2 linked regions of the Arabidopsis thaliana genome follow. The protein of the gene in region 1 interacts with the protein of each later gene in a pairwise test. Each region holds a gene or a part of one and is shown in the gene's direction. Other genes may lie near its edges. The genes, in order: AT4G35905 and AT1G22800.

Region 1 (12,567 bases):
TGTTGCTCGGAACCTTCTCTTTGTAAGACCACACTATTTGTTTACAATGTGGCTCCACTTTGTTTTCTCTGTTACATAGATGATTAGCGTTTCACATTCTATACTTCCTTGTTATCTGCAAAGTTCTCAAAGATTCAATGATGGAACCGCAGGCTTCAAGACATTCTTTTTCCCGTGTGGTACTTTGGCAAAGATTGCCACTGCAGCATCCAACAGGCACATCTGTAAGGGATATTATTGAATACCGTGACTTTATTAATTTTCAATCTTTTAGTAATACATGTGAAAGCTAATAAGTCAACTGGATTTTTTTTAATTTTCGCTCTCCCAGCTTCAGCTGAAGCATGTAATGAGCTAATGGCGTATTCTTTGATACTTTCTTGTTGCTGCTATACTTGTTGCGTGAGGAGGAAACTCCGGAAGACACTGAACATCACGGTATTACATTCTCATTCTCTTCCACTCGCTTGAATCCTTACCATTAATCCCATTTGATCCCAAAAATCTATATGCTTCCGAGAAAATTTCTATCATTTGCATACCATAAACAACAAATGAAATTTCGGTTAAAGATTAAGTAGACACCTGCAAAAAAATTCAGTAGTAACTATCATGGTTGAGATTGAAATGGCTATGTTTATGCCACTCAATGTAGAGTCGGAATGAATGCTTAATGTTTTCTGATTTCGCAGGGAGGATTCATTGACGATTTTCTATCTCATGTAATGTGTTGTTGCTGTGCCCTTGTACAAGAACTGAGAGAAGTTGAGATTCGTGGGGCATATGGTATGATTTACATACAAACATATTATCAATATTTGTTTCAATCTTGAAGCACTAACAAAGATCTGTCTCTCATATCTTTGCAGGTACGGAGAAGACGAAAATAAGCCCGCCTTCGTCGCAGTTCATGGAACATTGAAATCTTCTATTATACAAAAGGTGAACAAAAACAACGATTTGTTGTAACTCTGGATACGAGACGAGATTCTTCTTCGTACTACTCACTTAATATTATTGTGTTAAATCGTGGAGTCGTATGTAAATTAGTTTGGGATTCTCATCTTAATTTCAGCAATTTGTGTTGTGTGTATCACATATAGACTAACTAATTCTTATTTCAACCTTTTATCACAAGATAGGGTATTAGGTTTACCGGATGGCCAATTGAACCAAACTTGTGTTTTGGGTCAAAATAGTAGTTTTCTTTTATGAATCAAGGAGAACATATACAATTTGCTGGTGGGTGAATATTAATATTACAATAGCAAATTAAGGAAAATTCTTTGAAGAAGAAAAGAGATGAAGAAATGCATGTGAGGTATCATTACCATGACTAAAAAGCCTAAAACATTGACAAAATTGATATGACTGATGATGATTCTCTTCTATTGCTCCCAAATTGGACAAAACTTGTCGGTTCCTTTTAATGGATGGTTACATGTTTACGGTTTAGCATCTTTTAAATACTTATCAAACCATAATTTCTTTACTAATCGTCTCACCGGTATGGGTAGACTCGTAAATAACCACTTTCATCTTCTTCCCCAATTTTTCTTGCTTTCTCTAAACCCTAGTTTCAGACAAAGTAGTGACATTTTTCTAACAATTAAACCAATATCGCCGTAGTCAACCACCGCATAACGTTTTGGCGCCGCCTGAGGCTGACCTGGGGCTGCTAAAGATTTTATCGCGACGACTCTCTTTCTCTCTCAAACTGGTAACTAATCACTTATTTGCTTGTTTCGATTTTGAATGTGCACACATCGCTATCTATTCAATATATTCGCTTTATAGCAAGACTTAGCAATATACAGTGTAATAGGATTGATTATATACTGATTGAGTAAAAAAGACTAATGATTTCGTTTAGAGTAACAATCTCTTAATTATCTCGTTAATGGCGGAAAGTAGTTAAGTCTCGTGAATTAGATGTTGATAGCATTGTCTACTCCTTTGTGTTGTAATTCCTAATCTAAATTTTCCACAGTTTCAGCTGCTTGCGAATTGGAAATGGCTTGTAATTCCTCAGGCTGTGAGTCAGGTTGCTATGACCGTGAGAAAGATAATGGAAGTAAGATAGTGGATGATGCAGTATCTGGTGGCGGTAATCATGAGAGTGTCTGCGTCAAGTGTAAATGCAATGCGCCTATGACATTTGGTGACGGTGGCTTCGACGATGGAAGATTCTGCGCAGATTGTTTTAGGAACAATGTCTTTGGGAAATTCCGTCTTGCTGTTACTTCTCATGCTATGATCACTCCTTCAGATAACGTCCTTGTTGCTTTCTCTGGCGGATCATCTTCCAGGTTTTGCTCTCTTTTTTTCCTTTAGTTTCTGTTTTTTGATATGTTATTGATTGGTGTCTAAACGTAGCAAGTATGATGTTAGGGTTTCTCTTCAATTTGTGCACGAGTTGCAAATCAAGGCTTTGAAGAATTACGAGGCGAGTCGAGATAGATCTTTACCTGTGTTTGGTGTTGGTGTTGCTTTTGTGGATGAAACTGCAGCTTTTCCTGCTCTTTCCACTGAAATGATTGATGCAATTGAGTGGGTTCGATATACTGTCTCGTGTTTGTCTCCACCTGCTAAGGATCTCCATGTTGTTCCAGTCGAAAGCATATTTGGTTCAGACTCTCTTGACGCACGGGATAGACTTCTGAAGCTATTAGATTCTGTTCCTGACGATACTGGAAAAGAAGACCTTCTGCTGCATCTGAAAATGTTATCTTTGCAAAAGGTTTGGACATTATATTGCTTTTGTTTCTGTCTGGGAAAGAAATTCAGATTTGGAAATATCTTTTGTTTAATGTTGTTTGATAAACCTTTTTAGGTTGCCGCTGAAAATGGGTACAATAGATTAGTGTTGGGATCATGCACGTCGAGAATTGCTTCCCATGTTCTTACGGCTACTGTCAAGGTGTGTTGCTTAGTGCCCTGACTTGACTCGTGTTTCCTCTGGCTTAGTTATTCTATAGATTGCATCTTAGAGTGAGAACTTCATGCCAGAAAGCAATCAATGGCTACCTTAAAGAATGTAGATATTTTGGACTTAACCAATTACATCTCTAAAAATTGAAGTTTTGGTGTAAAGATTTTATTTCAGTACACAATGTTTTGTGTACTTTATTTGGACATTCCCTTTAGACTATGTTCTATCAGAATTGTGAGTTGAATTGCTTTTTCTTGAAACAGGGACGAGGTTATTCACTATCAGCAGATATTCAGCATGTTGATGCTAGATGGAAGGTTCCCATTGTACTTCCACTTCGAGATTGTGTTCGACTGGAAATAACTAGACTCTGCCTTTTGGATGGGTTCGTTTATTGGCTGCCTAGTCTACATTGTATTGTTATAGTGAACCTTATTCTTGCATAATCCAACTATTGAGTGACGTCACATATTCTGGGCAGGGCAGACTTAAGACTGTGGAGTTGGCTTGTCGTTCTCAATGCGGAATCAATGATTTGGTGTCTTCATTTGTCGCTCTGTTGCAGGTTCAGATAATGTTCATCTTCTGCATATGTTTAAGTGCATGCATGGTTACCTGTTACTTTGTTTTTACTGATTCATTTGTCTCTGGGTTCTGTTGTGCAGGAAGAAAATCCTTCCCGGGAATGCACAATTGTACGGACAGCTGCGAAGCTGACTCCATTTTACTTCAATAAAATTCCGGAAACAGACGACTCTAATGTACCTATGGCCACTCAGAGGCGCCTAAAGAGATTCAATCTCAAATATGATGGATCAATGACTACTGAAGCTTTCTGTCCTATCTGCAATGGCCCGCTAAATAGATCAGACTCATCAGAGTTGGATACTTTTGAAGAAGGCCAGGAATCTGATGTCCTCTATGCTGCTTGCTGTTCAAGTTGCCGGTTTCAAATACTTCCACAGGATGGATCATCTCTTGAGCAATTCAGTTCATTTCTACCAGATCACATGATTTCCCAAGTGAAACATCAAAAAGTTGATAGTCAAGCTTATCTGAGGTGAGTAGTATGCATTAACTCTGATCTCAAACTTGGATTCCTTTTCCATTCGTTTTACCTACATTATTGGTAGTTCATGTCTCTAGGAAGCATCAGATTTAAAACAACCAAGATCAAGACTGAGTGAAACACTATTTGAGATTCCTAACATTGGTTTCCATTTATTTCAGGGAGAAAATTAAAGACTGTCTGCTCTTGGACGATGAAGAGGTTGTCTAAATCTGCATTCGGATGCTTGCACAAGGTATGAGAGGAAGTTTAAATCCTGTCATGCTTATCAAGGATTATTCCTAGAAACCTAAGATCATCTTAGTTTAATGTCGATCTGATATCATCGTAGATGTTAAAAGTGTTTTTACTCATTCGTTACAATGATTGTCTCAATGTGAAGCAAAATCACTGAGCAATTGAATGAAGCATCTACAGTTTTACACATATAATACAAGAATCATGGGAAGTTTACAATTTGTAACACAAGTAGTAAACTTGTTAGGGGTGATGCGAGAATCAAGTTTTGTAATATTTCTATGCGCAGAATCAGAGATTCAGGAGCATTAATCTAGAGTGCAAGTGATCAACATCTTCCAATAGCTGGATAAGAAATCTGTGTAAATTCTAACCAATGTCCCATAGACATTATAACACGAAGCGCTTAATGTTTGATCAATTTATAAAGTCCGACGGACGAATGGTCAACAAATTAGAATTGAGGGCATCAAACAAGAACTATAAAATATAGAGGCTTATATTTGAAAATTTTCTCCCCTAGCTAGAATAATATATACACATTGAAGGGACCGTTTGTGAAACATAAAAATTGAGGGGCATGGTTGGAAACTTTTAAATTTATAGGGGCGTTTTGCGTTTTTACTCAAAAAGTCCAAAACTATCGCTCAACGCCGGTCGATTCTACCGGAGATCGGAAAAAAGGAAAAAGTCCGGAGAGAGCTAAAGATCAAAGCTTTAGAATGGTGAGACTAAACAGAGTGCTGCTAAAAGACGCCGGCAATGTAATTGACAAGACCCTCTCCGAGATTCTGGTGTGCCCTCTCTCTAAGCAACCTCTGAGGTTCGATTTCTCTCCTTCAAAATGTACATAGCTTAAATTCGATTGGTCCCGAAGAACTTGTTTAAGCAATTTGGTGAATTGATTGCTGATAGGTTTTGCGAGAAGACGAAATCACTTGTCAGCGATACTATTGGTGTCTCTTTTCCTGTAAGCTTCTATCCAAAGCTTTTTGATTTTTTCGATTCAGATGCTTGTGAGCTGTTGAGCTCCATGAAAGTTAGATTTATGGCGCTTATTAACTCTCCAAACAGTGAAATTGTACGAAATCACTATCATATCTGCTTTCAGAATCATGCTCTCTTATTCAGTGAACATGTTCTCAACCCAACTTTGATCTTTTAGGAATTGTCTAATCAAAGATTGAGATGTGTATATATATATAGACTTTGATTCTTTCATTATTCTTCATTTGCTTCATACTAAATAATGTTTAAAATGAATTTATTCTTGGTGTTGATTTGGGATTCACTGATGGAATAATCATATGCTAAAGTGATTGGTCGGCTGTTTTCTTCTTAATGATATTCTTCTTGTTCTTTTTAGATTTCACTTCATGTTCACGATTCAATGTTTAAGACTTGATTTTGCTTCTCTTAACACGCTAGATCAAAGATGGGATTCCATGCTTGGTTCCAAAGGATGGAAAAATACTTGAGGAGGAAGGTGATGCATCAAAAGCTTAATGACTTTTGCTTTTGCACCCAAAAAGAAATAAAATGGTCAGAGTGAAGGTATCAGCTTGTATCTGCAGCAACTTATCAATGGTTCGTTCTGTCCTCTGTACTAGTTACCTGATCATCTCTTCTAAACTCTCTTTTAGGCTTGTGGCCAAGTTCTGGTAGCATTTTTAAGTATGAATGTTTGATGGGAAACATTGATGTAACCAATTGAAAAACATTATAGGTGTGTAGTTTCAGGTGAATAAACCAACTTTTTCGTTTAAAGTTTCTTGAAGTCTAGGATTCTTATTGACTGGAATGAAAGTAGAAGCATGATTTAAAGTATTGGATGCCTATTTGAGGGGCTCTAAGTGTAACCATATAATGTGAGGATAGATTCTAGTCATAGTCCCACTTTTGGTAACTATTCTTCTTTATCTTAATGTCCACTATATTTACACCATATTAGCTCTTGATGTCCACTTTTGGTTGCTTAAAAGAATACACAGCAATATATCAACAACCAAAAGTGGATCAACAAGACTTATCACTGTCAGGTAAATGAAATTGGGCCAAAAGAAGATAAAAACTATTCTCTTGATAAACCAAATGAATACAAACACACCTAGTGTTTTTGATGGTGACCAGTTAGAGCAAAAGCTACAATACTATGTACTATGAATATAAATAAAACGTGGGGAGTGACCATGCTGAATAAGAAACTTATCATGTTCTCTCTTGACCAACCCGAAAAGTGGTGAACTTAATTCCCATTGGCTTGGAGGTTTCAAAATCATATTGCAAGTTGTTGGCTTGTATGGTAGACAGCCAAAGGATTGGATATTTATGTGATAATGTGATAGGGAGAAAATTAAATGTTCAGTGATAGGTCCCCTTCTCACTTTTCTCTGGTATTGTCATCATTTAAGTGGAGCACTGTTTTGTCTATTGGTCATTTGATCCTTTGCTTCTTTTAAGAACCAAATTGGTTAAACAGTAAAACATAAGGTTTTTTTTCTTACTAGTATTAGAAGAGGAAGTAGAACATTACTACAACAAGAATACAAGTAGAAGTTAGTACAGAAGTGAAAAAAGGGTTTGCATAGGAAAACGACAGAACATTAAGAGAGGACCCAGGACAGGTGTTCCTGTGCCTTAGGAAATTGAAAGATCCTTTTCTCTTTCCGGGTCTTTTGTTTTACATCTTCTTTTTTCCCCTACAATATCTTAGTTCTACAATTTTAGGCTTAGTTATACTTATAGCTAATAAAAAAGGGTACAAACTTTTGCCATTTTTTCACTTCTTCATGAGACAATCTCAATCCCCAAAAGAGAAACAAGGACTTGTAGATTTCTCAAAATGGAGCTGTGGAAGACCGTTGAAGTGTGTTCTTTTTGGGTTGCTGAATTGCTGCAGCCATTTTTAACTGCACACACACACACACATAATAAACACACAACTGAAGTATCAGAATCTAACCACCCAAAATGTCATTGGACAAAAAAGTGTGTAAAACAAATATACTCCAGAGGCTGTCTGTCTGTCTCTTTTTATAAGTTGGTTAAACTACAAGGAATTGATCTAATGACATGAGTGCTACAAAAGGGTAAAACATTAAGAACTTGGCTCTGCTTGTTTACCTGATCTTGTTGTCTCTTGAGTCTTGCATTTTCTGCCTGCAAGTGAGCAACTTCAAGTTCTAACTCGTTTGTATAAGCCTGCAAATGAGAATCAAAACCAAGAGACCTTTTTTTAGATCAAAAGCAATTTGATGGCAAAACCACATTTCTTTTCTTCCCTTTTTGATACACATGAGTAGAAGAAGATTAGGAGGGAAGAGGAGAGGCACATTCCTGTTTCCTAGCGCGGGAACGAGCTGCAGATTCTCTGTTCTTGATCATACGCTTATGTCTTCTATTCCCTGAACCTTCATTGGAATCTTGGCCTCTTTTCTTACCAAAAGAACTGGATGGAACCAGAGCCTCGAAAGAGGTGTTGAAGGCATGAGCGTTTGAGAGGTGATGGTGGGTATGAAGATTAGAGTTTGAGGTAACAAGAGGATCTTGGTTATCGAGAAACTCGAAGCCAGCGCCGGAATTCAAGCTCAGAACAGTTGCAGGAGGTGGAAAAGGAGAGCTGTAAAGAACAGTGACCGTGGTGGAATCGCCATTAGGCGCAGAACCCGTGGTCTGGCTTGTGGGTGCTGGTTCCTGGTTCAAAGATCCTTTGAGAAAATCTTGGAAGATTGAGTTAGGGTTTTGGTTGTGGTGGTTTTGGCCCCTGAACCTTGGCTCGTGGTTGTGTTGTGGATGAGGGCTGTGTCGGTTTAGGTGGTGGATGGAAGCAAGGTTGATGTCATTCCAAACTTCTTCCATGGTGACAAGAGATCTCTTCTGGGCTTGAGAGTCTTGAGAAGGTAAAGGAGATGATGATGAGGTTGATGATGATGAAGAAGAAGACGATGGTGATGAGGATGAAATGGAAGAAACTTTGGTGAGAGTCTGGTTCTTGTTTGTAGCAGAGAGTCTATGGTTTCTCTGATGCTTAGCTGATGACAACATTGGAAAAGAGAACAGAAGTGAACCAACAACACAGCTTTAGTCTTTGGTTGTCAATTGTCTAGTAGTATCCTACACGCAGAGAGGGAGTAGAGAGAGAAAGTGGTGAGAGCTCAGAGAGAGGTTCTTGACTTTAGCCGGTCATTTCTGGAATGATGGGGTTGGGTCCAAGACTCCAGAAGAAGAGACAGAGGGATTGAACTATTTCCAATTAAATAATATATTTCAAGAAGAAGAAGAGAAATTCCATAAACTATTATATGTAATTAAAGGTGTTTGTTGATGTCTTCAACGTCAGAGTTATTATAAAGATTAAAAATGGTGTTTGATTATTTCAAAAGTGAAGTATTTTTCATCATCCTTAAATGTAAAGAGTGAGTGGGGGTGAGATGCTTGTAAAAAGCCAGGCAAATATATAAAATTATTTTTGGTTTTATCTCACTTTCTATTTTCTAATATCAAATCCCTTTGGATCACTTTCAACTTTCATGTGTGACTTTAATTTTTGTTCTTGCTCTTAGATTTAAGGAAAATTTGCCAAAATACACTTTTTTCCCCTAAGGGTATTGACGAAATAAAACATTAAAAACAAAATGAAAGTAGATAAGAATATATACATCTTTCTGTATTAGAAATAATTAAATAAATTCGTTTAAATATATAATAAAACACAAAATCCTAACTACTATACCAATAAACTCAAATGTAAAAATTTCTTCTGTTTTTTTTTTGTTTTTGGCAGCAAACATTAATTCCGTTAGAATATTTCATTCCTCTTTTCTTGATGTGGTTAATATATTTTAAACGAAGATAGAATAATATTATCGAATATAAAAAGTAGTACTTGGGTGTTCGTATATGTAATTTGTTTCTATCAAAACTAAAAGTCTGAAAATTATATGTTTGATTAGTACAAAAAAACTTTATTTTATATGAGATTCGGAGTGTTTAAGAACGGGTCATTTGCACTTAACGTTTTCTTAAATATGTAGTTGCAAACATTTCAAATAATATCGACCGTATAGTTGAAATGCATTTAAATAACAAAAATATTGTTAACTATTGAATTGTTCCCCACTTCAAATCATTGGTGTTCATGTCATCCAACGAGATTTGATCAAAGTGTCAATAGTCTGTTTTACAATACGGATAGGGAAATCAATTTATGTGGGTCTCCAACTCTGAACAAAACAAACATTACAAGTGGATAGTAAAGTATTAGATTTTATATGACCAATATAGTTTAGATATTTATGTTGATTGTTTTGAAGATTAGAGACGAATACTAAACTAGTTAATAATTAAGCCAAGTAGAAGATGATACATATTAATAAATCTTTGATCATACGTAATAAACAAATAATATGAGTACCATCCAGATATCTAGATATTCGATTATCGTATCTACTATGTAAGTCAGTCTCCAAGTGCATATCTAGTCACGCTTTTCAAATTTTTCCTTTATTGCAAGTTGATTATATATAAACTATAATAACATACGATATTTGTTTTTCTTTCCTCTTCTCTTATTCTATTCAACAAGATTAACTATTCATTTCCGTACATGTATATAATTTTTTTTCTCTGAATGTTGAAATCAGCCCTCAAGGAAACGTCCCATCTTTTGAACATGCAAAGAGTACTACATTAGGAGCTGTTTATCGAAAATGCAAGCTCCTCAAATACTCATATTTGTTAGAAGATATATATTTTCCATTTGTTGGTGAAAAGTACAAAGACTTTAATTTGTTTACATGTTTCCAAACATTGGGTTTCAAAATACATTTTGAGTTTTTAATGTGAAACACAAATTTCATAGATCTTTGTTGTCGTTTCGCAACCACCAAAAATTCGAATGTAAAGAGTAGTACTTTTGTTAGTATCGACGTCACTACGCATATTCATTGACGAAAATAAAACAAATTTTCCCAGTCTCAAATCATTTTTGCAAAATAAACTCAAAATAAAGTTGGGGTATAGTCTGTAACGAGTGAATTCAAATGTCCATTGTATCATAAAATTGTGCAGAGAACTTGTAAGTTGTATAAGAAAGGAGTGTGACATGTCACGTCTCAGGGGATTGGACAGGTGTCAGCACTATATTGCTCTGTCCCAAACTCCATCAAATCTATTTCTCTGTCTTTTAATATCCTCTTTAGTTTACTTTTAAACAATGCATATAAATGGAAACAAATTCTGTTTTAGCAAGTTATATAAAATTTTCCGGACTATCATACAACATGAAATATGCCTACCAAAAGTAGTAAGTGCAAAATAATTCATTGTTTTATATATCTCGATTTCCTACAATTATAAAACATTGTTTGGTGGTGAAGAAATAAAATACTAATTACATCTCTATATATTTAGAGACGTAAAAGGGTTTAAGATAGACTCGTTGGCTTGAAAAAAGACTCGAACTCGGTGGACAAGTGATTTGATTTGATGAAGAGACAAATCTCAACTTGTTTTTAATTATTCATGTTCGTTTACATTCAAATTTATAATCCAACGAACAATATGAATGACCCGTGAGTTCAATAACCGTTGGATTCTGTAAGTCTACTGGTATGTACAATCATCATCTGTCCGTAGGTTGTCTCTAGACCGTACGGAAGCAAAGTAGACGTAATAATTTACTGCTAAAATTAGCAATAAAAATAAATAAAGGAAAAAACTTGGAGTTGAAAGAGCCAAAAGAATGCTAACCGTTGGATAGTCAAGATGGGTGGGATTGTGTACTTGACATCTCCAAAATGGTAAGAATAATTGAGACAACTTTCTATATTTTTGGTGTGTTTTGTGAATTAGGGTTTACTATTTTCTTAGTCTATCAAGAATAGTTCTGATTTTTTGTTTCGCATGGATTGTGACATTGAACCTATTCTTGGGCCGTTTCTGATTATTTTCCACATTTGGGTGAACATATAGAATATTCTGATATTATGTGAGTGTTTAATTAGATATAATTATGACTAAATCAAGTAGAGAGGGCCTTGGATAACTAGATCGTCTTAGACTTTTAGGTGTAGAAAAGTCAGCTTTCATTATTACGAGAGATCTACATTATACTGTTATTACGTTAAGCTTAATTCGCTGCAATAATGTAAAACATTTATGAGAAATAAGTAAGTACCTAACTAGTCAAAAAGTGAACCAAATAATTTCAATATGAATTAACACACATGTGAAAACTGATGATAACAAAGGGAAAATTTCACGGTTAAAACGCTATACACACTATGAATTATTTATAACTTTTGAATAGACACATTAACCTTTTTGCTACATTGTATTTAAACTTATGTATGAAGTTGTGTTATTTTATTTTTATAAAACATAGAATCCATGCTATTTATAAACTATCATACTTACGAAATGCCTTATAAGACACATTAACCTTTTTGCTGTTTTGGTAAGTTAGTGTTTAAATAATCTTGTAACATACGAAATGCCTTAGGCTGATTTTGCAAATAAAAATAAAAATACAGTTATTTCTTGATCGAACTGAAAAATACAAGAACAGTTATTTAATGTTATTACTTTTAAATTCTTAATTACATAGCGACTCTCCAATTTTTGTATTTTTTTAAATGGTTTACTGTTCCATTCAAAATCATACACAACATAACACAGCAGTACAATGCCAGCCAGTAGAGCGTTAAAGCACGTGTTTGCTTCATGTTCACAGCAAAGCAAACCACAAGACGCTGCCGTTTTTGTACATGTTTTTGGCGTGTTACTTGTTCGTCTTACAATGTTAGGTATAGAAATTCAAATAAAGGTACACTTTGTTTTTTTCTCACACCGACGAAGTTGCTAAGGTATAAGAGACTCACAAGTCTTTCTCTCAAGTAAAGTTTCTTTTTGCTTGAAGAATTAGAAGAGATTCACGAGTCTACTCCTCTTATTTTAACTCTCTCAAACCCATAAAAACAATCGAAATATTGAAATCCAGAACAGAACAAAAAAACAGTAACAGGGGTTATAAGAGAGTATTAGCAAGCAAAACCAATAAATCCCAGACCATAACAATGGCTACAAGCAACCATAATAATGATCATAGCATATGTAGCATAAACATAAAAAAAAGTTATTAGCATCCAAAAATAACCAAAAAAAAAAAGAACCCATAAATATGCCAAAGTTTCCGCTAGCTAGAAGAATCACAAATGTTTGATCCTTTTTTTTTTTTTTTCATATGCGTCTCTTCTCTTTATGCTTTTATCTCTTTTCTTTCTTTTTTGATTCCCCTTCATTATTGTTTTCCTCATTTTGGGCAAGACAA
Region 2 (13,187 bases), on another chromosome or scaffold:
ATATCATGAACCAAAGCTCCATACCCATCAAAGTAACTCCAAAACTGCCAACAACAGAGAAGAACGGAATGAATAGTCCGTCCTATCGATTCTTCAACGCCGCCTCAATAGACTGGAAAGCCGATATCCAAAACTGTTTAAACTGGGAAGCTCACAGCTTGCTCTCCACAACTATGCCTACTCAGTTTCTCGACACTGCGGCTCGGGAACTCGGCTGTACTATATCCTTGTCCCAATAACGAGCACCCACTTTTGTTTTTGGTAAATTTTAGTTCTCTAGACAAAACATTTGGACGTAGACCAAGAAGAATATATATATAGTTTGTTGTATGTAATGTTGTAATGATGAGTGACTGACGCAATCACTCCCACCGGCGTTGGATTTGCTCTCGCTCGGTGTCTTATATAACTCAACCTCTTCTCTGTACATTTTAAATGACGAAGTAGCTCAATCTTTTTTTTTGTGCGTCTGGTGTTTAGTCTTCAGTGGATTCTAAATCGTAATGTATAGAAGTGAAAAATTTACAAATTTACTTATTTCCGAATACTCTTAAAACAGCAAAAATTAATATTGCAAAAGATAATTTATAGTATTTTAATCTTTTTCCTCCAAAAAAAACATTAAAGGGTAAATTAGTAATTAACTACAGGAGCTTCATATTAGGTTGGAAAACCCTAAATATGCCGCTTATAACAGACCTGAGCTTAAGCTGTGGTGGCGCCTCCAGAGTCTGGTAAAAGAGCTTAATCCTCCTCTCGCGATCTTTCTCGGCATCCAAAAATGGTACGATTATCGTTCTTCAACTCTTGTCTGGTTCTCCAATTGCTCGTGCTTCATTTTGCGTATCGCTCGTTTTTCATTGCTGGTTTTGGGATTGGAGTTTTAAGCTCAAATGTTTTTTGTATTCCCTTACACGATTTGCGACTGACGGATCTGTTTTTTTTTTTTCGTATTCGTGTGTGTGTAGTCTCTAGTTGCGAACGAGGAGTTTCAGCATATTCTGCGTGTGCTCAATACTAATGTCGATGGGAAGCAAAAAATTATGTTTGCTTTGACCTCAATCAAGGGTATTGGAAGGCGATTGGCTAACATTGTGTGCAAGAAGGCTGATGTTGACATGAACAAGAGGTTTGTTTCTTAGCTTGGTTCTTAATACTTTCAGTTACTTAGGAATTCTATGGATAAGGATTATGAATCTTGCGAGGTTTTGGATGTTAGTAGAAAATGTAGCTCTTTGACTAGAATTGTACCTGCTCGATCTGGTTTGATTGATTTCTAGGAAATCAGATATTTAGGTTTTCTTTGCACATAGAACTTCTCTAGATTGATATTCTTGAAGAAGTTTGGTCTAGTGTGTGTTTTTAAATGTTTTTTCCTTTGCTGGTATATTCAGGGCTGGAGAACTAAGTGCTGCTGAGATTGATAACCTCATGACAATCGTTGCTAACCCTCGCCAGTTCAAGATCCCAGACTGGTTTCTTAACAGACAAAAGGATTACAAGGATGGGAAATACTCCCAAGTTGTTTCCAATGCTCTTGACATGAAGTTGAGAGATGATCTTGAGCGTCTCAAGAAGATCAGGTAACAAACAACACATACAGACACTCTCCTCTGTAGTTTTTAGATACCATGTTAATAGTATAATGATGCCCATCATAACTTTCTATATGGAAGAAGCTAAGTACACAACTCTTGTGTTAAATCATGTATACACTCATTTTCGGCAACAAAACCTAATCTGTAGTGTAATGATTTACTGATGCATCCTTTGTTTCTCTCTTGTTGTTCTGATAATCGATATAGAACTTTGTTTGTACTGACTGAGATTGTCACTGTAATGTAAACAGAAACCATCGTGGTCTGAGGCACTACTGGGGTCTCCGTGTACGTGGACAGCACACCAAAACCACCGGACGCCGTGGAAAGACTGTTGGTGTTTCCAAGAAGCGTTAAAAAGAGTTTGAGCTTGGTTCAATGGCTTTGTTTTGTTTTTTTTGTATTGTTGTTTTTTGCAGAAGAGATAGTTTAAGAGATGTTGTTTCATCAAAAGACGGTCTTAGCTTTTACAATATATAATTGAATCCAAAAACTAGTCTCTATTTATTACATTCTCTTCTCTCAAAATCTGCTTTAAACAAAGTTAATAATAGCACACTCCTCCATACGCAAGAATTATATAATTAGAGAAAACTTTTAAGTGTCACAAGCGGCTGTCTCTATAATGCGCAAATACATCGTTATCAGTTTTAATCACTATCAGTAACTTTACTGAACTTAATTGATCATTTTAATTTTTCATGTTACTCTCTCCTTCTTCTTCACTTGTTCTCTTTCTCATCGCCTCTTGATTCACGCGAACGAGAAAGCGACGATCGTAACCACCGGCGCTGACCAAAAAGTAATCGATTCTCTTCCCGAGCTGATCTCTCAGGTGCGTGAATTCACTTTTTTTTTTTTCGATTTTTCCCGAGAAAAAAATCCAGCAAAGAGTAGTAGCGATGAAGAAGACGAGGTTTGAATTGAGATTCGTATTCTTTCGGTGGCTTGAAGTAGCTTATGCATGTTTAAACTCTTGTTCAGTTGTTTGCTCATGATTCGAAAATGGCTTTGTAGATCTTCTAATATAATCTCTTCTCTTTATCAATTCACTAGTGTTCTATATCTGAAGAAATTTACGGCTACAGATCCAATCTCATTTCGTTTCGTTACACTATCTCTACTAAGATTTTGTTTTTTGTTTTTTTTCCCTCTTTTTTTGCGTTTTAGATCTCCTCCATGATTGAAGTTGATCCATGCTTTTGAGTTTAAGTGATTTATTTAAGATCCTCTAAACTTTTTTTTCTTCACTTAGTGGTGGTTCCAGTCAATTTAGCAAGTAAGATGTTGTATGTGTCAATGCTATAACTGTGAATTTTCAGCTATTGTAGTTTGATTTTTGTCTTTGTTAGCTTCAGGTGTCTTGAATCTGAATCTGTGGCTATATTTGGTGCTCGGTGGTGAGCAGGAAGGGAGGGGGATATTGTCAGGGTTTTAATGTACGTCAGATGAATAGAGCAACTAATGTTACTGGCAGTAGAAGGAGGGGGTTTATTCTCAGCGTCCGCGTCTGGGTATAGTAAGGGATTGACCCTTCTTTTCTCTGGTGATAAAGACGTAGATAGGCCCATGAGAGTTGTCCCGTGGAATCACTACCAGGTGGTTGACCAAGAGCCTGAGGCTGACCCTGTTCTTCAGCTGGATTCTATTAAGAACCGAGTTTCCCGCGGTTGCGCTGCTTCCTTCAGTTGTTTTGGTGGCGCTTCCGCGGGACTTGAGACCCCTTCTCCTCTTAAAGTTGAACCTGTGCAGCAGCAGCATCGTGAAATATCATCACCAGAGTCTGTTGTTGTTGTTTCTGAAAAGGGTAAAGACCAAATAAGTGAAGCTGATAATGGCAGCAGCAAAGAAGCTTTCAAACTCTCGTTGAGGAGTAGCTTGAAGAGGCCCTCTGTTGCGGAATCACGCTCTCTAGAAGATATAAAAGAATACGAGACGTTGAGTGTGGATGGTAGCGATCTCACTGGTGACATGGCAAGGCGGAAAGTTCAGTGGCCTGATGCTTGTGGTAGTGAACTCACTCAAGTTAGAGAATTTGAGCCGAGGTACGTGTGATATGTTTTCCTCTTATTGAGTTGCTTAAATCCCAATACGAGTTAATTTAAGTAGATCCATTGTTTTATGCCAATAGGATCCTTGTTGTGAATCTTGAGCTTGTATAATTAGATCCATTGTTTTATGCAAATAGGAATGTTAGTCTTGAGCTTTAACCCCTATTGCTCAAAATGGATATCCTTTAATTCATTTAGATTTCAGAGTTTCACATGTGCGTAGTGCCCGGCAAACTCACTACATATATATATTCTTTGTTACACATCATGGTTTTGTAGAGACATTTAGCTGTGTTTCCTTTTCTTTGTGATCCTCCCACGGTTTGTTATTAACTTCCAAGAAACAAACTTGATTTTGGTTGCAGTGAGATGGGATTATCAGATGAAGAATGGGAGGTAGGACGACAAAGAACATGTTCGTGTGTGATCATGTAAATTCAGAAATCATCGGTATCACTCTTTACTCATGTCTTGTGTGCATTGCTCATATATTTAAAGTGTATCTGTTATTACAAAAGTTCTCTTCAAGGTTTTGGCTTGTACATTATTCCCTTTGTTTTGAGTGGCAACTTGTTCCGGGTTTCTGTTTTCTAAAAACGATAAGACAACATCCAAATCGATGCAAAGTGGAAGAGAGTGGCAATAACTCTTGTTCTTGTAACGCTCTCAACCACATTACGTACGTGTACAACAAAACTAGAATGCTTATATAACTAGTCCACTAACTGCAAAGCGAATCTGCAATGGTTTCGCAACGATCCACCATGTTCGTTAGTTCTATCGTTCACATTGTCCTTAAGGAACTGATCAATCATGTAAACATTTAATGGACTTTACAAAGAATCTTGAGTCCTCTGTTGTATTAATTGTTTACCAATTACCAGCTTCCATAGCGTTTCTGGTTGCAAGTACTTAACCATCTTGGAGGCGTAAACAGTTTTGCCAGAGAAAGTTGATAATCCATCTGATTCTAATGACAACATAGGGGTTAAAACGTAAAATTAAAAACAATAGGGAAACATTATAGAATATAGATAAACTTCAGGGATCAAAATGAAAGAATACAAGACAGAGAAATCTACCGTCTCTTCTTCAAACCAAACCCAGAACCTCCGTCCGACCAATTCCGGTGCAGCTAAGAACCAGAGATAGAGAGATAGAGATGCGGAGGATCAATTCACTGTACGGAAGAATTGGTCTCCTAAAACGAGTACCCGAGAAATCTACGAAGCAAGCTCATACATTTCTCGCATCTCTCTCCTTCTCTACGGAAGGTGCTTATGGCGGTGACGGTGAGTTTCAGCAGAACAGCTCCAAAGTCAAGATCTTTGACCGAGACCTCAAGCGAATACATGTGTAGTGTTCGAATTCATCTTACATTTGCCTCTCTCTCTTATTATTAATCCAGATTTCGAGTTCTTATAATTTGTGTGTTCGATTGATTTGCAGCGTGATCGAGCGGCGTGGCTTTCTCGCCAAAAAAACGATTCTTTTGTTGACGCTGTTGCAGATAATCTACTTGATCGCTTAGAGGTACTCTTTTGTTTGATGCATGCTCGCCATTGAGAGAGCAATTTAGCTTCTCTTGGGGCTAAATTTCTCGATTTCAATCAAGCTTAGTAAATATTGTTTTTGCTCTTTCTTAAGGATTGTAAGAAGAGTTTTCCCACTGCATTTTGTTTGGGAGGATCTCTTGGTGCTGTTAAGAGATTACTACGTGGTCGCGGTTAGTTTATCTCTCTCTTGACTGTTCTGGTTCTGCATTTTGAGTGTTGTTGATGATGATTTTTGGCTTTGTTGCACAGGTGGGATTGAGAAGCTTATCATGATGGATACTTCATATGACATGATTAAGTCATGTAGAGATGCTCAAGACGATTCACTCGATAACTCCATTGAAACCTCTTACTTTGTTGGTGATGAAGAGTTTCTGCCAGTCAAAGAGAGGTAACAAGGACGTTATTGTAAAACCTGTTTTTCTTTGTTTTTTTCCCCTTGCTGCGACTCACTAGAGTTCTATTACCTACTAATATCTTGTCAAATATGTTGTATGTGAAGTTCGGTTGATTTGATCATTAGTTCGTTGGGGCTTCACTGGACAAATGATCTTCCTGGATCCATGATACAGGTTTTCTCGTTTTCGTTGCTTTTTGTTGGTGTATGTGAATTGGTTTGTCCTATGAGAAAATATTTATAATGTGTTGGTTTTGGATTGTAATAACTGCAGTGCAAGCTAGCACTGAAGCCGGATGGCTTATTTTTAGCAGCAATTCTTGGTGGAGAAACCTTAAAGTTTGTCCTCTCTTTCATTTCAAATCAATACTCAATGTAGAGTCTCTTATTCCATATCATGTTTCTGATTAGCCTTTACGTATTGAAATTATTTACAAGGGAGCTGAGAATAGCATGCACTTTGGCTCACATGGAGCGGGAAGGAGGGATTAGTCCTCGGCTATCACCTTTGGCACAGGTGTGTGTGAATATCTTAGCAAGATCAAGTTGATTTCTAGTACTGAGGTGAAAGAACATGGCTTCTCTTTTCTTTTTCAGGTTAGGGACGCAGGGAATCTGTTGACCAGGGCGGGTTTTAGTCTTCCTGGTGTTGATGTTGATGAATATGTAGTTAAATACAAGAGAGGTAAACTGTTCCACTTTTTTCCTACTTCATCGTTTGCAACAACGTGTATCTTCCAAGAATTATTTCTGATTTGCCTTCTCGTTTATATCTTTCTACTCAGCGATGGATCTTATAGAGCATCTTCGTGCGATGGGTGAAACCAATGCTCTTCTCGAGAGAAACAAGATTTTGAATCGTGAAACTGCTGTTGCCACGGCAGCCATATATGACTCCATGTTTGCCACAGAGGACGGCACTATACCCGCTACTTTTCAGGTCTGTCCATAATAGTTCAGAACTAACTCAACAGTGAAAAAAACCCATAACCTAGCTTCATTATTCAAGTTGTTTTGCTACAATCCATGATTAAAACAATTTTATGCTAAATACTACAAGTGAAATTAACAACATTTGAGGCCTAAAGTATATATCGTTTGGCATTCTTGTGTAGGTGATTTACATGACAGGATGGAGAGAACATTCGTCTCACCCGCAGGCCAAACGAAGAGGTTCAGCCACCGTATCCTTCACGGATCTCCAAAAGCAATTTGGCGGACAATCTTGATGGAATGATTGAAGAAGAGAAACATTCAATAAGCAGAGACTTTACAAATGACACTTGAGAGAGAAATCAGTGACTTAAGCTATAAGGTACTTGGAGGAACTCTTGTAGATTTGTCGGAGTCTTTCACTGGGCGAAAGCATCACAATTAGGACGCCTGCTTTCGCCCATGTATTTCGTATCGAATAATAGCTGATCAGAAACATATTTGTATTTTACAAAAATATTACGAATACTTAAAAATCTCAATCTTCAATCACGAAACATGATCTCGCGCTAGGTTTCTTGAATAGATTTGTATACAATGGACCAAACTTCACTAAATCAGTGAAACAAACATTAATCAAAACCTTATAATGTATATTCACAACCATTTGATTGTTTCTCTGTGGTACCTAATCTTGTTTTGAGTAAGATTTTAGCACCACACCTGTTTTGATTATGGTACAAAATCTTACTCAAAAGAAGATCAAACGTGATCATGACCGTCGAGATAAATCAAACGTGATCGTGGCCGCCCAGATAATCATACACTGAAATATTCAACGGCTCCACTTGATCAGCTCCATTCTCGTAATACGTCGTCGTATCTCCGCATCCAGAGTTCACGCTGGTACTGTGGACGATTCCGGCGTCAATGGCCATGCCGGCGTTAGAAGCAGCTTGCTGGATAGATCTCGGAGAAGTTCTGGAAACGAGTGAAGGATTAAGCAAATGAGGGAAATTGAGAGATTCTAAAGAATCAGGTTGGTGTAAACAGAAGAAAGCAACGTCGTGTGCTACGGCGGCACCTTCTGCTGTTGAGAATGAACCTAACCAGAGACGGTCACGAGTTCCCGGAACTCTAATCTCTGATACCCATTTGCCCCATTTCCGACGACGGATTCCTTTGTACTTTGACTGACTTTCACCGGTGGATTCTCTGTAATCCATTTTTTGTTGTTGTATGATGATCGATGTGAAGAAGAAGAAGAAGAAGAAGAGACTTTTGAGTGTTGTTTATGTTTGAATATGAAGATACAAAGACTATTTATACGTTGAAGTTTAGTGAAAGTCAAAATATTATATAATATTTTTTAATATGAATCAAGAATGAGAATGAAGTTGACCAATTATAAAACTAGTTAATTCTCGAGGAAAAAATCAACTGGTCAAAGTATGACCCATTTTTTTAGTGGTACCAATTTGACATGTGCCTGACTAGTCGATTTTTTTTTCTTTCAAGTTGTAACTTTTTTTTTTGCTGTGTCTAACAGTAAATTCAATGTATTTAGAAAGTAAGAGTCATTTCTATAAAACAAGTGGTATATATACCGTTCTGTTTGGTTTCAAAATAAATGATATTTTTTGTTTTTTTAAAATAGAAAATTAATCTTTATTTTTTGTTGTTGTTGCTTTGGTATATCATAGTTAGGTTACCTTAATTTATAGGTTTTTCATTTTTTTTTATATGAAAAAGTCTTAAGTCGAAATCTAGAATTTTATACTACTATATATCCTCTATTTCGTTTCATAAAAATCTGTAAAATAGGTGATGACATAATAGTATAGAGAAAAGCAGTGAAAAACACAAAAGTCGATTCAAACTCCACCGATGAAGAATGTGAAAACGTCGTCGTCGATGGTTAAACCACGTGGGATAAAGAAAGACTTTCTTTGCCTTTTTTGGTTACAAATTGCGTCATGCGTGACATGAGCACCGTCTAAAGGGGGTCCTTTATTTTTGGCATTTGACCAAAGATCTGTAATGACTTAATGATTCTCCACGGACAACACACAGACACAACAGCCCAAACTAACTGGAAAAAGTTATTTTTTGTCTTCTTCTGTGTCTGCTGACTCATGTACATGGTTGTCAAATTTTAGTTCACACACAACCACATCCAAAACACGAATCATCCACGGAGAAACCCAGTCTCATAATGTATTTAATGTGTTTTCATCCTTCGGATGCATAACCAATTCTTTGTAGTTGATACTTGATTAGGTTTTTCTCGACACTGACATTTGGGAGTTGATTGTGATGTGATACACCGTCTTATCATAGTCACCGACTCATTTAGAAGAAACCTCAAAGGTAACTTGGTAAGTTACGATTAGAGATGTTTTTAGAAACGTCTAGCAGATTATTGATATCTGACAATAAATATTCACACCTACTCGGTTGGTCTATGCGATTTTAGACAATTTAAATGTTTATAAAAACCCTAGTGTATCAGTATATATAAAATCAATATTAATGAAATAATGCAATTAATAAATTACTTATTATAAGTTCTTATAAAAAAAATACTAGTGACCTCATTTTGTAATATCAAAAACTGGTGCCAACTTCATCTAACACGATTTATTTAACCTTGGTAATATTTTGAAAAAACCATAAATTTATAAAGTTGTTACAGTCAGATTTTAGTGGGCTAAAATGGGTTACAATTGCAATGGGTCTGGAAGTGGACAAATCTAAACAAGCGGCCCAAATCATCTGAGCACATGCCAGAACATTGAATAAATGTCAAAAAGGAGTCTCTTTCTACATAACCTTCACGCGCGGCTACTCCTACTTTCGCTTCGTCCGGTTCCGTCGATACTGTCTCCGAATCACTGTCTTCTTTCCTTTTTCTTCCTACATGACATCTGTCTTATCTCTTTTATGTTTCTCTAGATGTACTTATACTTCCATGTTTCGTCTGTATACGGTATGTTTCGCTCACCACATGTTCGATGAAATTCCTCAACGAAACTTTTTTTTTATCTTTCTCACCTTTCTTCCTTTGACTTTCAGACGGAGAAGCAAAATTGCTTGAACTTTCGCTTTGATGGATCAAACTAGTCTTGGAACAATAATCAAAATCCATTCGTTGCCATCATATGCAGCTTACTGTATATGCCGTCTTCTCCTTCTCGCTCTATACTCAGAGGTCTCACTGTATCCGAAATTTGCAAGTTTATTCCTCAATCGTGGAAACAGCTGCCGAGACCCATCTCAGAAACTTCCAAAACCCATGATGATGAATCAGTTCCACAAGTGCTTTTCAATTCATTTAGACATTGCATTTCCCATGGTCAATTATATGAAGCTTTCAGAACTTTCTCTCTACTTCGCTACCAGTCTGGTTCTCATGAATTCGTTTTGTATTCATCAGCTTCTCTTCTATCTACATGTGTGGGTTTTAATGAGTTTGTTCCTGGCCAGCAACTTCATGCTCATTGTATCTCGTCGGGTTTGGAGTTTGACTCTGTTTTGGTCCCAAAGTTGGTCACTTTCTACTCTGCTTTTAATCTCCTTGACGAAGCTCAGACCATTACTGAGAACTCTGAGATTTTGCATCCCTTGCCGTGGAATGTGCTCATCGGTTCGTATATTAGGAACAAAAGGTTTCAGGAGTCTGTTTCTGTTTACAAGCGAATGATGAGTAAAGGAATTAGAGCGGATGAATTTACTTACCCGTCTGTTATCAAGGCTTGTGCAGCATTACTGGATTTTGCATATGGGAGAGTTGTTCATGGCTCTATTGAGGTTAGCTCTCACAGGTGTAACTTGTATGTCTGCAACGCGTTGATATCTATGTATAAAAGATTTGGTAAAGTGGATGTTGCTCGGAGATTGTTTGACAGGATGTCTGAAAGGGATGCTGTCTCATGGAATGCAATAATCAACTGTTATACTTCAGAAGAAAAGTTAGGGGAAGCTTTTAAGCTTCTTGATAGAATGTATCTCTCTGGTGTCGAAGCGAGTATTGTAACTTGGAACACAATAGCTGGAGGTTGTTTGGAGGCAGGAAATTACATAGGGGCTTTGAATTGTGTTGTTGGGATGAGAAATTGCAATGTAAGAATAGGTTCTGTAGCTATGATTAATGGTTTAAAGGCATGCTCACACATTGGAGCGTTAAAGTGGGGGAAAGTATTTCATTGCCTTGTGATCCGTAGTTGTAGTTTTTCCCATGATATTGACAATGTTCGGAATTCGTTGATCACAATGTACTCAAGATGCAGTGATCTTAGGCACGCGTTTATAGTGTTTCAGCAGGTTGAAGCAAATAGTTTGAGTACATGGAATTCTATCATTTCCGGTTTTGCATACAACGAGAGATCAGAAGAAACCTCTTTCCTGCTCAAGGAGATGTTGCTCTCTGGATTTCACCCAAATCACATTACGCTTGCTAGCATTCTCCCTCTTTTTGCTCGGGTGGGAAACCTGCAACATGGGAAAGAGTTTCACTGCTACATCCTGAGACGCCAAAGCTACAAGGACTGTTTAATCCTGTGGAACTCCCTTGTCGATATGTATGCAAAATCCGGTGAAATCATAGCTGCAAAGCGAGTATTTGATTCGATGAGGAAGAGGGACAAAGTGACATACACTTCTTTGATCGATGGATATGGCAGGCTGGGTAAAGGAGAAGTCGCATTGGCATGGTTCAAGGATATGGACAGATCCGGTATCAAACCTGATCATGTAACTATGGTTGCAGTTTTATCAGCTTGCAGCCATTCCAATTTAGTGCGTGAAGGACACTGGTTGTTTACGAAGATGGAGCATGTGTTTGGTATACGCCTTCGCCTTGAACACTATTCTTGTATGGTTGATCTTTATTGCAGAGCAGGTTACCTGGATAAAGCCAGAGATATATTCCATACAATACCTTACGAGCCATCAAGTGCTATGTGTGCTACTCTACTGAAAGCGTGCCTCATCCACGGGAACACAAACATTGGGGAGTGGGCTGCAGATAAGTTACTACTAGAAACAAAGCCAGAACACTTAGGTCACTATATGTTGCTTGCAGATATGTATGCAGTAACTGGTTCTTGGAGCAAGCTTGTAACGGTGAAGACTTTACTGAGTGACTTGGGCGTGCAAAAGGCTCATGAGTTTGCTTTGATGGAAACAGATTCGGAGTTAGATGGAGAGAATAATAAGCCGATGAACGATGATTCTGTCATCAATCAGGAGCAAAGTTCAGATGAAGAACGTCTTGTAGAAGTAGGATAAAGAATCAAATTCTGATAGAAATATTTTATCAAACTGGAGAATCAATTTGTACATAAATCTTATATACAACAAGTTTTAATTGCATGATTTCCTGTAAACATAAGTTTACATGAACTAGGGGATGGTCCTTCGCAAGTATGAGTAACAAGCATAAACAGCATTATATATGAAATAAATATGAGCCCACCTAAACCCATTAAGGGCCCATTAAGATTGGAGATACTGCTTTTTTAAGAGAGGTCACTTTTTCCACAGTGAAACCCTAAGGAAACTTCGGCAAGCTCCAGAGAAACGAGAGTTCCGTAATCATTTTCTCTTGTTGTTCCTGATCGCGTAGCTCAAGCGAAAAAAATGGCGTCGTTTGATGAAGCACCACCAGGAAACGCCAAGGCCGGTGAGAAGATCTTCAGGACCAAGTGTGCTCAGTGTCACACCGTCGAAGCAGGCGCCGGTCACAAACAAGGTTTTCACTCATCGATCTCTCTCACTCTTGAATTCTATTTCTATGGTTGATTTTCGCAATTTATCTGAATTTTTATCGGGCCTTTGTTTTACATCGCTTTATAATCGATTTGTTCATGTTAATCAAAAATCTCTGATGTGATCTGGTTAACGGATTCTTCGATTAGATCATAGATCTGATCCAATAACCTCGATGTCTTACTCGTGTTTATCCTTAAATCTTCAGCTCAATGCATGTGACGAATTTCTGAGGTTTTTATATACAACTTTTCGCATTTTTGTGGAACTTGATTCTCGAATTCTAAGTAATGATACAACAATGATTTGAGCTAGTTGCGTCACAGATTCTCATTTTTTCTTGAAATTGCGTGAAATTAGAAAACACTGTTGCTCAATGGTTTCTATTGTTTTCGTAGCTTTTGTAGAATGTGATTTGCGTCACATTGTTGCTCAACACTTGACCTTGTTGTTTTAATATAGGACCCAATCTAAACGGTCTATTTGGAAGACAATCTGGTACAACTGCTGGTTACTCTTACTCTGCTGCTAACAAGAACAAAGCTGTGGAATGGGAAGAGAAGGCCTTGTACGATTACTTGCTCAACCCCAAGAAGGTTTGTATAATCATGTCATGATTGTTTCATGAGTTGTTGTTGTTAACATTGAGATTGATGGCCTTTTTATATGATGCAGTACATACCAGGTACCAAGATGGTGTTCCCTGGGCTAAAGAAGCCGCAAGACCGTGCTGATCTCATCGCCTACTTGAAGGAATCTACTGCGCCTAAGTGAATCTGATGGTGGATTGATTCTGAGTTGTTAAGTCTCTCTCAGATGAGGCTTTTTTACTTTGCTATATTCTTTTGCCAAATAAAATCTCAAACTTTTTTTGTTTATCATC

Evidence for each region.
Region 2: the proteins of AT4G35905 (region 1) and AT1G22800 interact in a two-hybrid assay, tested with the Arabidopsis thaliana proteins (one large-scale study listed by BioGRID).

What each region holds. Positions count from the first base shown.
Region 1 is NC_003075.7:17,000,461-17,013,027, reverse strand, and holds AT4G35905 (Trm112p-like protein), read left to right. Parts: upstream 1-4,761; 5' UTR 4,762-4,960; coding exon 4,961-5,061; intron 5,062-5,153; coding exon 5,154-5,208; intron 5,209-5,666; coding exon 5,667-5,744; 3' UTR 5,745-6,387; downstream 6,388-12,567. Other genes in the region: MCA1 (PLAC8 family protein), read left to right, coding at 1-22, 153-224, 332-438, 693-786, 870-922; AT4G35910 (Adenine nucleotide alpha hydrolases-like superfamily protein), read left to right, coding at 2,014-2,309, 2,392-2,740, 2,834-2,920, 3,196-3,317, 3,419-3,497, 3,598-3,992, 4,163-4,211; FD (Basic-leucine zipper (bZIP) transcription factor family protein), read right to left, coding at 7,076-7,147, 7,362-7,439, 7,575-8,282.
Region 2 is NC_003070.9:8,067,209-8,080,395, forward strand, and holds AT1G22800 (S-adenosyl-L-methionine-dependent methyltransferases superfamily protein), read left to right. Parts: upstream 1-4,580; 5' UTR 4,581-4,811; coding exon 4,812-5,003; intron 5,004-5,098; coding exon 5,099-5,182; intron 5,183-5,296; coding exon 5,297-5,375; intron 5,376-5,454; coding exon 5,455-5,596; intron 5,597-5,707; coding exon 5,708-5,777; intron 5,778-5,876; coding exon 5,877-5,941; intron 5,942-6,040; coding exon 6,041-6,119; intron 6,120-6,199; coding exon 6,200-6,287; intron 6,288-6,387; coding exon 6,388-6,542; intron 6,543-6,717; coding exon 6,718-6,831; 3' UTR 6,832-7,149; downstream 7,150-13,187. Other genes in the region: GI (gigantea protein (GI)), read left to right, coding at 1-239; PFL (Ribosomal protein S13/S18 family), read left to right, coding at 782-784, 969-1,129, 1,395-1,583, 1,850-1,955; AT1G22790 (Low affinity potassium transport system protein), read left to right, coding at 3,063-3,643, 4,015-4,084; AT1G22810 (Integrase-type DNA-binding superfamily protein), read right to left, coding at 7,327-7,761; AT1G22830 (Tetratricopeptide repeat (TPR)-like superfamily protein), read left to right, coding at 9,713-11,824; CYTC-1 (CYTOCHROME C-1), read left to right, coding at 12,176-12,287, 12,767-12,900, 12,980-13,078.